3 linked regions of the Oryctolagus cuniculus genome follow. The protein of the gene in region 1 binds, or shares a complex with, the protein of each later gene. Links are inferred from orthologs where the notes say so. Each region holds a gene or a part of one and is shown on either strand. Other genes may lie near its edges.

Region 1 (3,500 bases):
CGCTCACTTTAAATGTTACAACCATTTGCCTCTAAAGATATGTTTCACCCATATCATCTTTCATTTTGGTATAGGAACAGGACTGTTTGGTTTGTCATATTGCACTTCAGCATAGGATACCACGTGTAGCAAAACCTCAAATATTAACTAATCAAGAGAAATATTCTCAGTTATTTTATACTAATTACTGCTATAGGCAACGGTGGCTATAATATTTTCAGGTTCTATATTAGTTTTACAGCATTCAGCTTGTGTAACATAGATTATTAAGACACAAGTTATCATAAGACTTTCTTTTTCCACTTCCCAAGTCAGCCAGACAAGATACCTGTGCGTGCGTTTGCTTTATTGTTTTCAAGTCTTCAGTTAAGTTTTCACATAATTTCTGTGATTCAACCAAGGAAGAAATTGTATTGTCTTGCAGTTCATGTAGATTGTTACACAGCGTACTGAGAAAACCATCCATTTCCTTTTTCTGATCTTCTATCTTTGAGAAAAAAAAATATTAGCTTCTTTCTAAAACAATAAAGTAATTTTGAGATAATTAAGAACATAACATTTGTTACCTTATCAGCTACTGTCAATGCAGTCTTGAAAACATGCTTTAGCTGACTATTGATTTTCAATATAGACACCAGAGTAGGGGATAAAATCGTTTCCAGTGAACTTAGGAGGTCAGTCTTAAGTACATTCTAGTTTTAAAAATAAACAAACAGATCTTTTAAAAGGCGTATTTTCATAGCCTGGATGGTTAGATTACATTTAAAATACTTTTGAAAAACATACACATTAAAATTCTAAGTTTACATTCTCTGTTCTTCATAGCCTACAGAGATGTATCTATATGCCTAGTGTTTACATTCAGCGTAAACCCCCTTAGTTCTGCCTCTAGTAATTAATGGTCACTTAGTATACAATAAATTTTTTCTTTATTTTTTTTGACAGGAAGAGTGGACAGTGAGAGAGAGAGAGACAGAGAGAAAGGTCTTCCTTTTGCCGTTGGTTCACCCCCAATGGCCGCTGCGGCCGGTGTACCGCGCTGATCCAAAGCCAGGAGCCAGGTGCTTCTCCTGGTCTCCCATGGGGTACAGGGCCCAAGCACTTGGGCCATCCTCCACTGTACTCCTGGGCCACAGCAGAGAGCTGGACAGGAAGAGGAGCAATCGGGACAGAATCCGGTGCCCCGACCGGAACTAGAACCCAGGGTGCCGGCGCCGCAGGCGGAGGATTAGCCTAGTGAGCCGCGGTGCGCACCTACAATAAATTCTTAAAGAGTCTAATGAAACACATGTTAGAAGAATTCAAAAAAGGAAAAAAGTGACAATGAATTGGTAAGATTTCAGTATTCCAAATAGAAAATTTTAAAAATTTCAAACAAGTTTAAGTCATTTGTCAAAAAGACCAAGACCAAAAAGTCATCATGAGTAGGCTTTGGGATGGAGGTATTTAACTCTGGAGATTGTTGACTTATATCCTATTGTATCAGAACCTGTTAAGGTTCTTAAACTTGTCAATGCATATGAAAAGTAAATAATAAAGTGCAGACTGGGAAGTTTCATGAAAAACAAAAAATCCAGAGTAAAGATCTTTTCACCAGGGCAGAGGAAAAAAAAATAAAAACAGAAAATCTATAATAGAAATAATTTATAAATACTTTTTTAAAAGGCCACTGGTAATCTTTTGGAAGGAAGAGCTATCATACTAATTACAATTAATTCTGTAAGAACAGCAGTCATCTCTTCTTTTGATTCAAGTAATGTCTTTAACTTGGTACACAGGAAGACATCAATAAATACAGACCACAATATCTGAATCAATCAATTTCTAGAAAGTTAATGCTAACTGAATACTTTGTCAAATTCAGATTAAAGATAATAACCATTCATACCCTCCTAGAAAGAAGCAACTTGTATCAAGTTATAAGAGAGGCAACATGCTCACTTTAAAGTGGTCATTTAGATTGAAGAAACCTATCAAATAGTGTTACATTGCATGAACCTAAGCAGATCAGCTGATATTTCTAATATTTACTTGGAAAATGTTTAATAAAAATATTGTTAACCTCAAAAAGGGAGGCAGAGAACCTGTATGAAGGAAAGAACAAAATTAGTGCAATGGCAAACTGCCTAGACAAACCTTGCAAATACAAAATAGAATATATGTAAGTCATGTATCAAGGAGGCAATATTAACTGCAATTAGGTTAGTGACTTCTACAGAACTGTGGGGAAAAAAAATTTAGTTATAAGATCCAGAAGGGCTTGGTCACACAGATCTAACCCCAAGAATTTTAAATGTATTCCGAGAATTCTTTAGTCATTAAAAAGTTTATAAATAACTCCTACTTGTTAACACTATAAAATATGAGTAAAAGTTTTCAAATGTTGGTTATACACATTTGGAAATCAATCTTCCTGGGAGGAAAAAAAAAAACAATGCAGAGATTGGTCTTTAAAAATATAAACAGAGAGGCCAGAGCTGTGGCTCACTTGGCTAATGCTCTGCCTGTGGCAAAAGCATCCCATATGGGCGCCGGGTTCTAGTCCCAGGTGTTCCTCTTCCAGTCCAGCTCTCTGCTGTGGCCCGGGAGGGCAGTGGAGGATGGCCCAAGACTTGGGCCCTGCACCCGCATAGGAGACCAGGAGAAGCACCTGGCTCCTGGCTTTGGATAGGCACAGCGTGCCGGCCGTGGTAGCCATTTGGGGGGTGAACCAATGGAAGGAAGACCTTTCTCTCTGTCAAAAAAAATAAATAAATAAAATAAAACTATATATATATATATATATATATAGACAGAGGTCAGTTCTGTGGCAAAGCAGGTTAACTGCCATCTGCAGTGCTGGCACCCCATATAAACTCTGGTTCAAGTCCCAGCTAATTCACTTCTAATCCAGCTCCTTGCTAATGTGCCTGGGAAAGCAGCAGAAGACAGCCCAAGCACTTGGGCCCTTGCACCCACGTAGGAGACCTAGAAAAAACTCCTGGCTCCTGGTTTTGGATTGGCCCAGCTCCAGTCATTGCAGCCATCTGGGGAGTGAAACAGCAGATGGATGATCTCTCTGCCTTGCCTCTCTCTCTGTGTAACTCTGCCTTTCAAATAATAAATAAATCTTTAAAAAAATAAATTCTTGAAGTGATACATGTGTCACTATTTAACAAAGCTGAAGATGAAAGAATACCAGTTAATATTGCTTTAAAGACTTAACAAATGTAACCCTTAAAAATATTTTAAGAGATTTACTAACAATCAATTTCTGTAGTACAGTTTTACTTTCTGCTGCTAATGATTGTTCTTTCAGTATCATATTAGAAATCTGAGAAACACAAGTAGACACATTTTCTGGAACAGATGTGAGAGATCCAAGTGCTGTTGTAGTAATGGTGTCTAACGCAAAGACACTGGAAGACAGCAGATTACCTATAACAAAAAAATAAATAAAAATATAAAACGACATAAATATACTTAAGCAGTTAGAACCACTTTAAAGAGGTTACCAAAAT
Region 2 (3,997 bases), on another chromosome or scaffold:
ATATTGTTTTCCATTTTTAAGAGGGCTAATGGTAGAAGAAATCCTTTGAAAATATTTTAAGCTTTATCTTTCAATTCTCCTCACCCCTTTTATAAATCCGTTGATTCTTAATAGAGGCTTTCTGAGAGAGTTAGATCTGGTTTCTCAGGCAATCTTAAAATATCATGGGTGTATCACCTGCCTCACAATTACCTGGGGTGACCCACCAGGATAGCAAAGGACTACGGAATTTTACCCAGGATTTCTGGATTTTACCCAGCATTCCAACTGTTTCTTGCACATACCACAGCTGACAAAAATAACCATGTGAATGTATCCATTTCAAGAAAAATATCATGCCCAGTGCAGCCCCCTCTGTCCCTGGAGTCTCCCATTATCTGACCTGGCTTGCCTGACCAAATTCCTAACTCAAGGCAGCATTCCCATCCATTCCTCAAACCCAAGTCTACAGACCTGACCTCCTGCCTCTTCTCCTCCCCCTCCCCCTGCAGAGTCTGCCTTCACCTTGGTGAATGGTGCCACACACCTATCCGGGTCACGCAAGCTGCAAACCTGGCATCAGCCTCAATTCTCTCCTTTCTTTTGATCCCTTCCCGCCCTTACCTCCAACTACACTACCCATCAAGTTGTTTTGTAACCGTTATGAACTGTGTGGCACCCCTTGTGACATCCTGAGCACAGGGGATGCCGTTCTTATTTGTCTCATTCATCAGTGCACTCTCACAGCCTAGCACAGATCCTGTCTCACAACAGGTGCCAAACACACGTCGGCTGAAAAGAAACCAATCACCTGTTGTACTGTATCCTCCGCTTGGAAGGCCCCTACTGACACACCTTCCTGGATGGATCCTCACACCGGGACAAGCCGAGGCTCCTCGGAAGGGGGGGGGGGGGCAGAAAACTCACCGTCTTTCATACTCCATGTCCTGATAGGACCTGCGGGGGCTGCTGGGGCCCCTCCTCTGCCGCTGGCTCCGTTTCACTTCCCAGCCACCCCCGCTGCTGCCACCATGATCTGCCAGCCTGGGTGATGCCTCCTGCAGGGATTCTGGGGAGAGTAGAGGGAAGAAAGGGGTCAAGGCAGTGAGAAACCCTCATTATCAAGGCTCTCTACTGTCCCGTAGCCCACGGATATTGTTTTTCAACGCCCAGTGCTTGTGTGGATCAGGCTACAAGAAGGCAGCCCCAACTTGGGCTGCTCCTTCCTTTACCCACAAACACAAAACTGGAGCCCACAGCCCTGGAAGACAAGGCCTTCATCAGACAGGAGACATCTTGCAGAGAGACCTGGTGGGGCCAGTCATTGTGTGGCCAGGGTTTTGCCATCTGAGCATGGTAGACATGTTCAAGTCTAGGCACAGAGGCAAAACTTTACAATAGTGGGAGATCCGGGCAGGCACTGGGCTCTGTCCATGAGCCCCAAGGTACCATTTCGTTCTCCCAACAAGATGTTGGCTGCCCCCTGCGAGGCAGCAAGACACCCTGAAAGGCTCTGGAGGTGTGTGTGAAGGGGACTACCTCGGCAACAGGACAACTGCTACCTCCCTGGGCTCCTGGCTCTTGCACGGCAACTGGCTCAGCCCCCAGCCCTGTCTCTGATGTGCAGCCGGGTCCCAAGGTGGCTGGCTCCCTAGGGCTCTGAGCCCAAGTGTTCCAGAAGCAAAAGGAGGCCCTTTCTACTGGGCTGGAGCAGTCACTTCATACAACCCTTGGGATTGTGCAAGGTCTAAGACTCCTGATAACTATGTGACAACATAGGCAGGGGTCGGAATGTATCCCACAATCTCCAGGCTCCTCCCTCTCAACAGGAATCGGGTGAAGCCAGGCGGGTAACAGCACCTGCTCAACACGAGGTCGTCGCCACCACACCTTTCCTCCATGTACACACACCAATCTTCTTTTCCTCCCCAAACCACAGGGAACCAGAGTTACCTGCTCCCAATGGGTAAAGTCAGAATCACAACCAGGGGCCCCGGCGATTGCAAGGCAGATGGGAAATCCTCAACAGACTCTGGCATCCACAACAGATACTGGCCAAAATCACAGCCAGACCCCACTGCGAGGGCCTTAATCACACACAGAGCCCCGTTTCAATGGTATGAACTCCTCAAAAGAACGGGAGGTAAGTCTCTCCCCCCCCCCACCACCACACACACACGCTTTCTGCACCCCTCTCCCATCCAATGAGTAAGGGCCCGTCACAGGGTAGCCCCCCCCCCCCACGGATAAGGACCAGAGTCGCCCCTCGCCCCGCCAAGGATAAAGGCCAGAGTTGCACATTTTCCCCTCAGTGCCCGCCCCATGAATAAGGACCAGAGCCGCCGAGCACTTCCCCATGGATCGGTAAGTGCCAAAGTATCACAGAGAGCAGCCAGCACACCTCTTCCCCTATGGATAAACACCCAAGTCGCAGACACCTGCATAAAGTTCTGCAAGCAAACACAGCTACAGTAACCCACTCCCATCCGTCCCTCCCTTCCCCCAGCCCGCGTGCACCCATCCCGTGTCCCAATCGCGCACGCGCCCTAGATTTCACAAGGAGGGGGGGGAAGACACCCCCTCCCGGATTCTGACCGTGCACGCATCCCTGCGATCCACGCGTGCCCCGAGCCCGCAGTCCGCCCTCAATGCCTCATCTGTGCAACCCCCCGCCCGGGACCCCTTACCTCCGCCCCCACGACCAGCGTCGACGCTCACCTTCTCGGCCCGGGCTGTCAAGGGAGGGCTCCCAGGCATCACCTCGGCCCGCCGCCACCTCCTCCAAGTCTCCCAGCTCAGTCGGAGCCGGAGCGCGCAACAATCAAGTCCAAAGCTGGAGGCAGAAAGGAGGGGCAGGAGAAGGGAGAAGCGCCAAGTGCGCTGCCCTCCCAGGGAAACTCACGGCCGCCTACTCCCAGCCGGCCGCAATCAGCAGCACAAAATGGCGACGACAAGAAGGCAGCCGGCGCTCCGACCACCATCCACCTACTAAGGGAGCGCGCTCTGGCCGGCCTCTTCTATTGGTCGCCGCTCGCCGTCGGCCAGCCCTGGCCGCCTCTGATTGGCACGCGTAGGCCACCTCCCCACTCCCCGTGAGAACGCCCCACAAGTCGAGAAAAAGTCGCTATTGGCCAATCCAGCGAGGCCCGCTTTTTAGAAGCTTGGCTTCCTTTGAAGATGAAAGGCAGGCGGAAGCTCCACCTCTTTCCCTAAAGGGCAAGGGAACTCTCTGGGCGATTGGCTGGAAGCCGTGGCCACCCAAATGTCACTGTTTCCTTCCTATCAAGTTATGTGCAGACCTAGCAATAGCAAATTTCTCAAGAGGCCATGACAACAGGAGGGTAAGGGGGCTCTTCCTCGACGCCCCGCCTCACTTGCAAACAAAATCGGACCTGGGACCTATTTAGTGTGGCGGGGTGGAGCGACAATTATCGCGCTCGGACCAACTGCAGCTGCGCACAGTCGCATTTCCGTTCCGCCCCTGAGACCCTGCCGCACTCTTCGTCATGGCGGCCGGGATGTTAGGTTTGTGCGCTCGCCGCTTTTGGGCCGCAGCGGCTACGCGAGCGCTCCCGGCTGTCCGCGCTCGCTGGCAATCCAGCTCCTCCAGGGCTGTGGTCGCCCCGTCCGCTGTGGCGGGAAAGCGGCCTGCAGAACCGACCATACGCTGGCAGGAGGACCCAGATCCCGAGGACGACAACCTCTATGAGAAGGTGAGAGGGAGGGAGGACGGAACGCCGAAAGGGCCAATTGGGGACTGGCGGACGGGGCGCCGCAGAGGACGTTCTGAGGCAGCTGCGGATTGCGCAGCTGGCGAAATCCTTAAAGACGTGGGAATTTTGGTTACTTATTTTCTTCCTTTGTCCCCTGATACCTACGGTCCGGGGCCAGAGGCAGGGTTGGCCTTATTTTGCAAACCTAAAGTCAGAAATGCCGTAAACACTCTGGAAGCAATATAGTAGGGTAACCATGCTAATACTAAAAGCCCCGAGGTGGTGCTTGCCCGGTGCCAGTCTAT
Region 3 (4,007 bases), on another chromosome or scaffold:
ATGGTGGCCAGGACCCAGTACCTGAGCCATCATCTGCTGCCTCCCAGTGTGTATACTAGTGGGAAGCTGGATCAGAAATGGAGGTGGCACTTGAACCCAGACACTCTGATATGGGATGTGGGCATCCCAGATGGCAGTTTAACCTGCTGTGTCACAATGCCTACCCCATATTTGGTGAATGAAATGAACAAGGTATGTGAGGCATGGACCACAAAGTTCTCTACTAGTTAGAAAATGAATATATACACACACACACACACACACACACACACGTATTTAAAAATAACTGGAGAATGCAGGGAATACATGATCAGATCTGTATAAAAGACTAGCTTCCTGAAAGAACTGAAGGGGGCCAAGGTGACAGAAGAGCAAAGAGGAAGCAACTATAAAAATATTGGAGAAAGGTGACAGCTTATACCTAGGGAACAAGCAATCTAACAGGATTGAATATATAATGGGAGTGAATATATCTGAAAAGATATTTAGACAGAAACAACAGGCCCTTAATAACCAACAGGATGAGGGCAGTGAAAGGAGAGAAACTAGGAAAAGGGATGAAGCTTAGGTCTGTGTCTTAGGTGACTGGGTTGATTCTGGTGCCACGTACTGAATTAGGGAACACTGCAGACACGTTTGGTGGGGGAGATTTATAAGCTGAGACGGAGATGCTGTGTAAAGTCCAAGTACAGACAGATTCAGAGAGCTGGGCAAATGACTCTGAAGCTCAGAAGAAAGGTCGACGTTGGTCAAAGATTTGGGAAATAACAGCAAGTACTAGGTTGAACGTAGGAAAACTACCATTTTTGTAGGTAAAAAAATGGTCAACCTCTGCCAAAATTTCAGATGGTTCAATGTAACAGAAATCGTGGGTCTTGAGAGATTGTATCATCAGGAACTGCGTGATCAGTATATATAAGTCCTACAAAACCCCTTTTAACACAATGATAAAGAACAAGCAGAAGGAAAGGTGGATGAGACTGGTAAGAGTACAAGGAAACTCAAAGTTTCAATGCCATCTTTTAACATTGAAACCTAGCACTTAGCAAGCACTTGACAGGATATTTTAAATCAATCTCCAAGGGTTCCACAGGTGCTATCATCAGCTATAACTACACACTGCATGGATACCATTCACACTAAATTCTGTATGACTACAGCCCCAATACCTTGGGCATTAATCATCAGAACATACTATTAACAATGCTCCTTAGAGTTGTGTAAGGCCAAGGGTCTAACCATCAGGAACCATCACCTCTGTAAGAGACTAAGGTAACCACTGCCTCTGGAGACCCAAGACTCAAGTAAAACAGAAAGATGAAAAGAAAGAGAAAAAGGAGAAAAATTAAAATAAACCCCGAAGAAGCCAGCCAGCATCCTCAGATAATCTTTAGTATTTCCAAAATGAGAACTCACTTCTTTCTGGACTGCATACCTATCTTACTGACTTGTGAAAAGTAAATATCAAACATGGAAAAGAACTTGGTCAGGATTTAAACACTACATGAATAAGAACAATTATTCTTGTTACAGGCTTTGGATTTCTTTGCCTAAAGATTTGATGGAGACTGGTGTGTGAGTTTAATTACCATCATAGTGCTTTACAATGCTTTGGAGTGGGTAAGACATTTATGTATCTTCGTGCTTCATGGGCAGGTTGGTACTCCTATTCAGGGGCCCTGAAATTAGGCTGTGTTACATGAAATTGCCTCTTTAAAGGTCAAAAATGATCTAACACTGGGCAATTTCCTTTAGTTCAGATTCCAGTAAGTCGACAATTTTATAAGCAACATAGCTGGTTGCATTGAGAACCTGGTTCTTCCGATTCCCACCTAGTGCAGATCTCTTCCATGACTGAAAGACGACTCATTTCTTACAGACCCAGGAGTCAAAGAAAGTTCTGTTTCAAACCGCACTGATCTTTTCTGCAGGAATCGGTGTTGAACAAAGTGTGGTCCCTCACTGGATCCTCACATCCCTTACCATCCCGAAGGGTAACGGGTTGGAAAAGGACACAATGACAGGGCACCTACCATATGCTCATTATTTCATTTGATCTTCAACAACAACTTTATGGGGTACTTATTATCATTCTCAATTTAAACGAACGGTCCGAGGCTCACAAGGTAAGCGCCTCGCCCAAGGTCACACTGCTGGTAACTGGTAGGGCCAGCGAATGCAGAAGGAAAACCCAGAACTGTCAAACTCTAAAATCCGGCCCCCTCTCTTTAAGCAGTTTCTCAGGAAGTTTTTCACGGTTATCTCTAGGTTGAAGAAGGGAGAAACGACTAGCTCAAGATCCTAGGGGTTGCAACCCAGGAACTGGAGTCTCTGAGCTAAGTCTCGTCCAGCGGCCAGATTCTGGAAAGATGGAAACATCAGAAGGAACCTAACTGTTGGAACAAGTGCAACGTGCTAGTTAAACTACGCCCTCACAGCACTGCGGTAAAAGGTCAAAGAGCTGTCCCGACGCTTCAGCACCTGAGCCCCAGGCACCAACACGCTTGGCTCCGAGCAAGCCAGACGGCGGAACCGGCGCGGCGCCTTCCGGGCCGCCAGCACACCCAGATCTGGGGAATGTATTCCCCTTCCTGATCTCTTGTAGGACCTGTGGGCTCTCCTGGGTCCTCTCCCCGCCTCCACGCCCCGCCCAGCCCCGGAGAGACCCAGGATCTCCGCCTCACCCCGGCTGTGCCGCTGCTGCCACCACATCCCCTTCGATATCCACATCCGCCTCCTCAGCCGCCATGATGAGACCTGACCCCGTCTGTCCTCCCGCGAGATCTCGCGAGAGGGGGAAGAGCCCGGGGGCAGGGCCGAATGCGTCACGGGGCGGGGCTGGAGCCACATCTAGTCCCTTCCGTGCTGGGGAGGCGTGGCTTCCGGAGGAAAGGCGTTCCCGGAGACCCGGGAAGGTTTTGAGGTTGCTGTTTTAAAATGTCTGTTGAGTAGGATTGGGGATTGGCAGAAAGTAGGGTATATAGTCAAAGTAAAGGTGAAATGAAGGTGCCTATCACTGATCTTTACGGAGCAGGCGGGGATGGGGAGCCCGGCAGGACTGCCTGGATACACATCACAGCATTGAGAAAGATGCCTGCTAGCCCGGAACATGCACTACCGTGTGAACAGTGTCGCCTGCACTGCAGCAATGAAGAGTTTTCAGGTCCAGCCCAGGCATCAGTGGAAGCAAGGAAGGGCCTGGCCAGAATTCAGTTTCCCCAAGTCATTTCAAGCCCTCCCTCCCCAGAGACGATAATATGAAGTCTGTCCTCAACCCCTCGACCAACATACCCCACACTATGCTCTGGGCTAATTAGATTGATGTGGACCTGGCTCTCTGAGGGTCTAGGCTAACCCCACCCGACAGGATGATGCTGCACCCTCACCTTCAGGTGAACTCCAGAGGCCTGGTCTGTTTAAACTGTCCCGTTCTACAGGCCTGCAACCCTGGGACTTGTGGCAAGACCCATGTTTCTCATCAAGTAGTTTGGAAGCAGAATGAATTAGTATTTCAGAAATACTTGTTGCATTCCTCCTGTGCTGAGGAAATGGCATTGAATAAGATGGACTCAGCGTCTGCCCTCAAAGAGCCGCTCAAGCAGGCGATTTCAAGGCGAGGTAATAAGCTTCCTGGCAAGACTTCGGGGCTCATAGGGGATCACAGAGGAGGGGCGGCTTAGCTGGAGTGAACTCCGCCCCTGTACCATACTTCGGAAGAGTTCGATGATTGGTCAGATTCTGAAAGCGGCGCTCTAGATTTGGGGGAATACAAGATAGAAAGTCTCTAACTTCAAGGAAGTGTGGATACACAGAGAAGTACCCATGGAAAAGATTAGTGTCTGTTCCTGAGTAAAGCCAGGAATGGTGGCTACTCTTCTGGCCGGATGGAAAATCTCAGTCTGAAGGGTACTGTGTTAGGAAACTGGACGCCAGTTTCATCTATGGCACCATCTACACCCTGATTTACATCCCAAGCTTTAGCCCCCTCCGCCATTGCTGAAAGCCAG

The links.
Region 2: KIF11 (region 1) and RBM10 share a complex: the UniProt entries of both Homo sapiens proteins name them as parts of the large chromatin remodeling complex. The link is inferred for Oryctolagus cuniculus from reciprocal best matches to the Homo sapiens genes KIF11 and RBM10.
Region 3: KIF11 (region 1) and MYSM1 share a complex: the UniProt entries of both Homo sapiens proteins name them as parts of the large chromatin remodeling complex. The link is inferred for Oryctolagus cuniculus from reciprocal best matches to the Homo sapiens genes KIF11 and MYSM1.

What each region holds. Positions count from the first base shown.
Region 1 is NC_091446.1:37,973,066-37,976,565, forward strand, and holds part of KIF11 (kinesin-like protein KIF11), read right to left. Parts: intron 3,418-3,500; coding exon 3,245-3,417; intron 693-3,244; coding exon 567-692; intron 488-566; coding exon 329-487; intron 1-328. UniProt on the Homo sapiens protein: Motor protein required for establishing a bipolar spindle and thus contributing to chromosome congression during mitosis. Required in non-mitotic cells for transport of secretory proteins from the Golgi complex to the cell surface.
Region 2 is NC_091453.1:32,690,696-32,694,692, reverse strand, and holds the start of RBM10 (RNA-binding protein 10), read right to left. Parts: upstream 2,801-3,997; 5' UTR 2,737-2,800; coding exon 2,667-2,736; intron 1,049-2,666; coding exon 907-1,048; intron 1-906. Other genes in the region: NDUFB11 (NADH dehydrogenase [ubiquinone] 1 beta subcomplex subunit 11, mitochondrial), read left to right, coding at 3,486-3,692. UniProt on the Homo sapiens protein: Binds to ssRNA containing the consensus sequence 5'-AGGUAA-3'. May be involved in post-transcriptional processing, most probably in mRNA splicing. Binds to RNA homopolymers, with a preference for poly(G) and poly(U) and little for poly(A).
Region 3 is NC_091438.1:114,346,478-114,350,484, reverse strand, and holds the start of MYSM1 (deubiquitinase MYSM1), read right to left. Parts: upstream 2,801-4,007; 5' UTR 2,750-2,800; coding exon 2,685-2,749; intron 1-2,684. UniProt on the Homo sapiens protein: Metalloprotease with deubiquitinase activity that plays important regulator roles in hematopoietic stem cell function, blood cell production and immune response.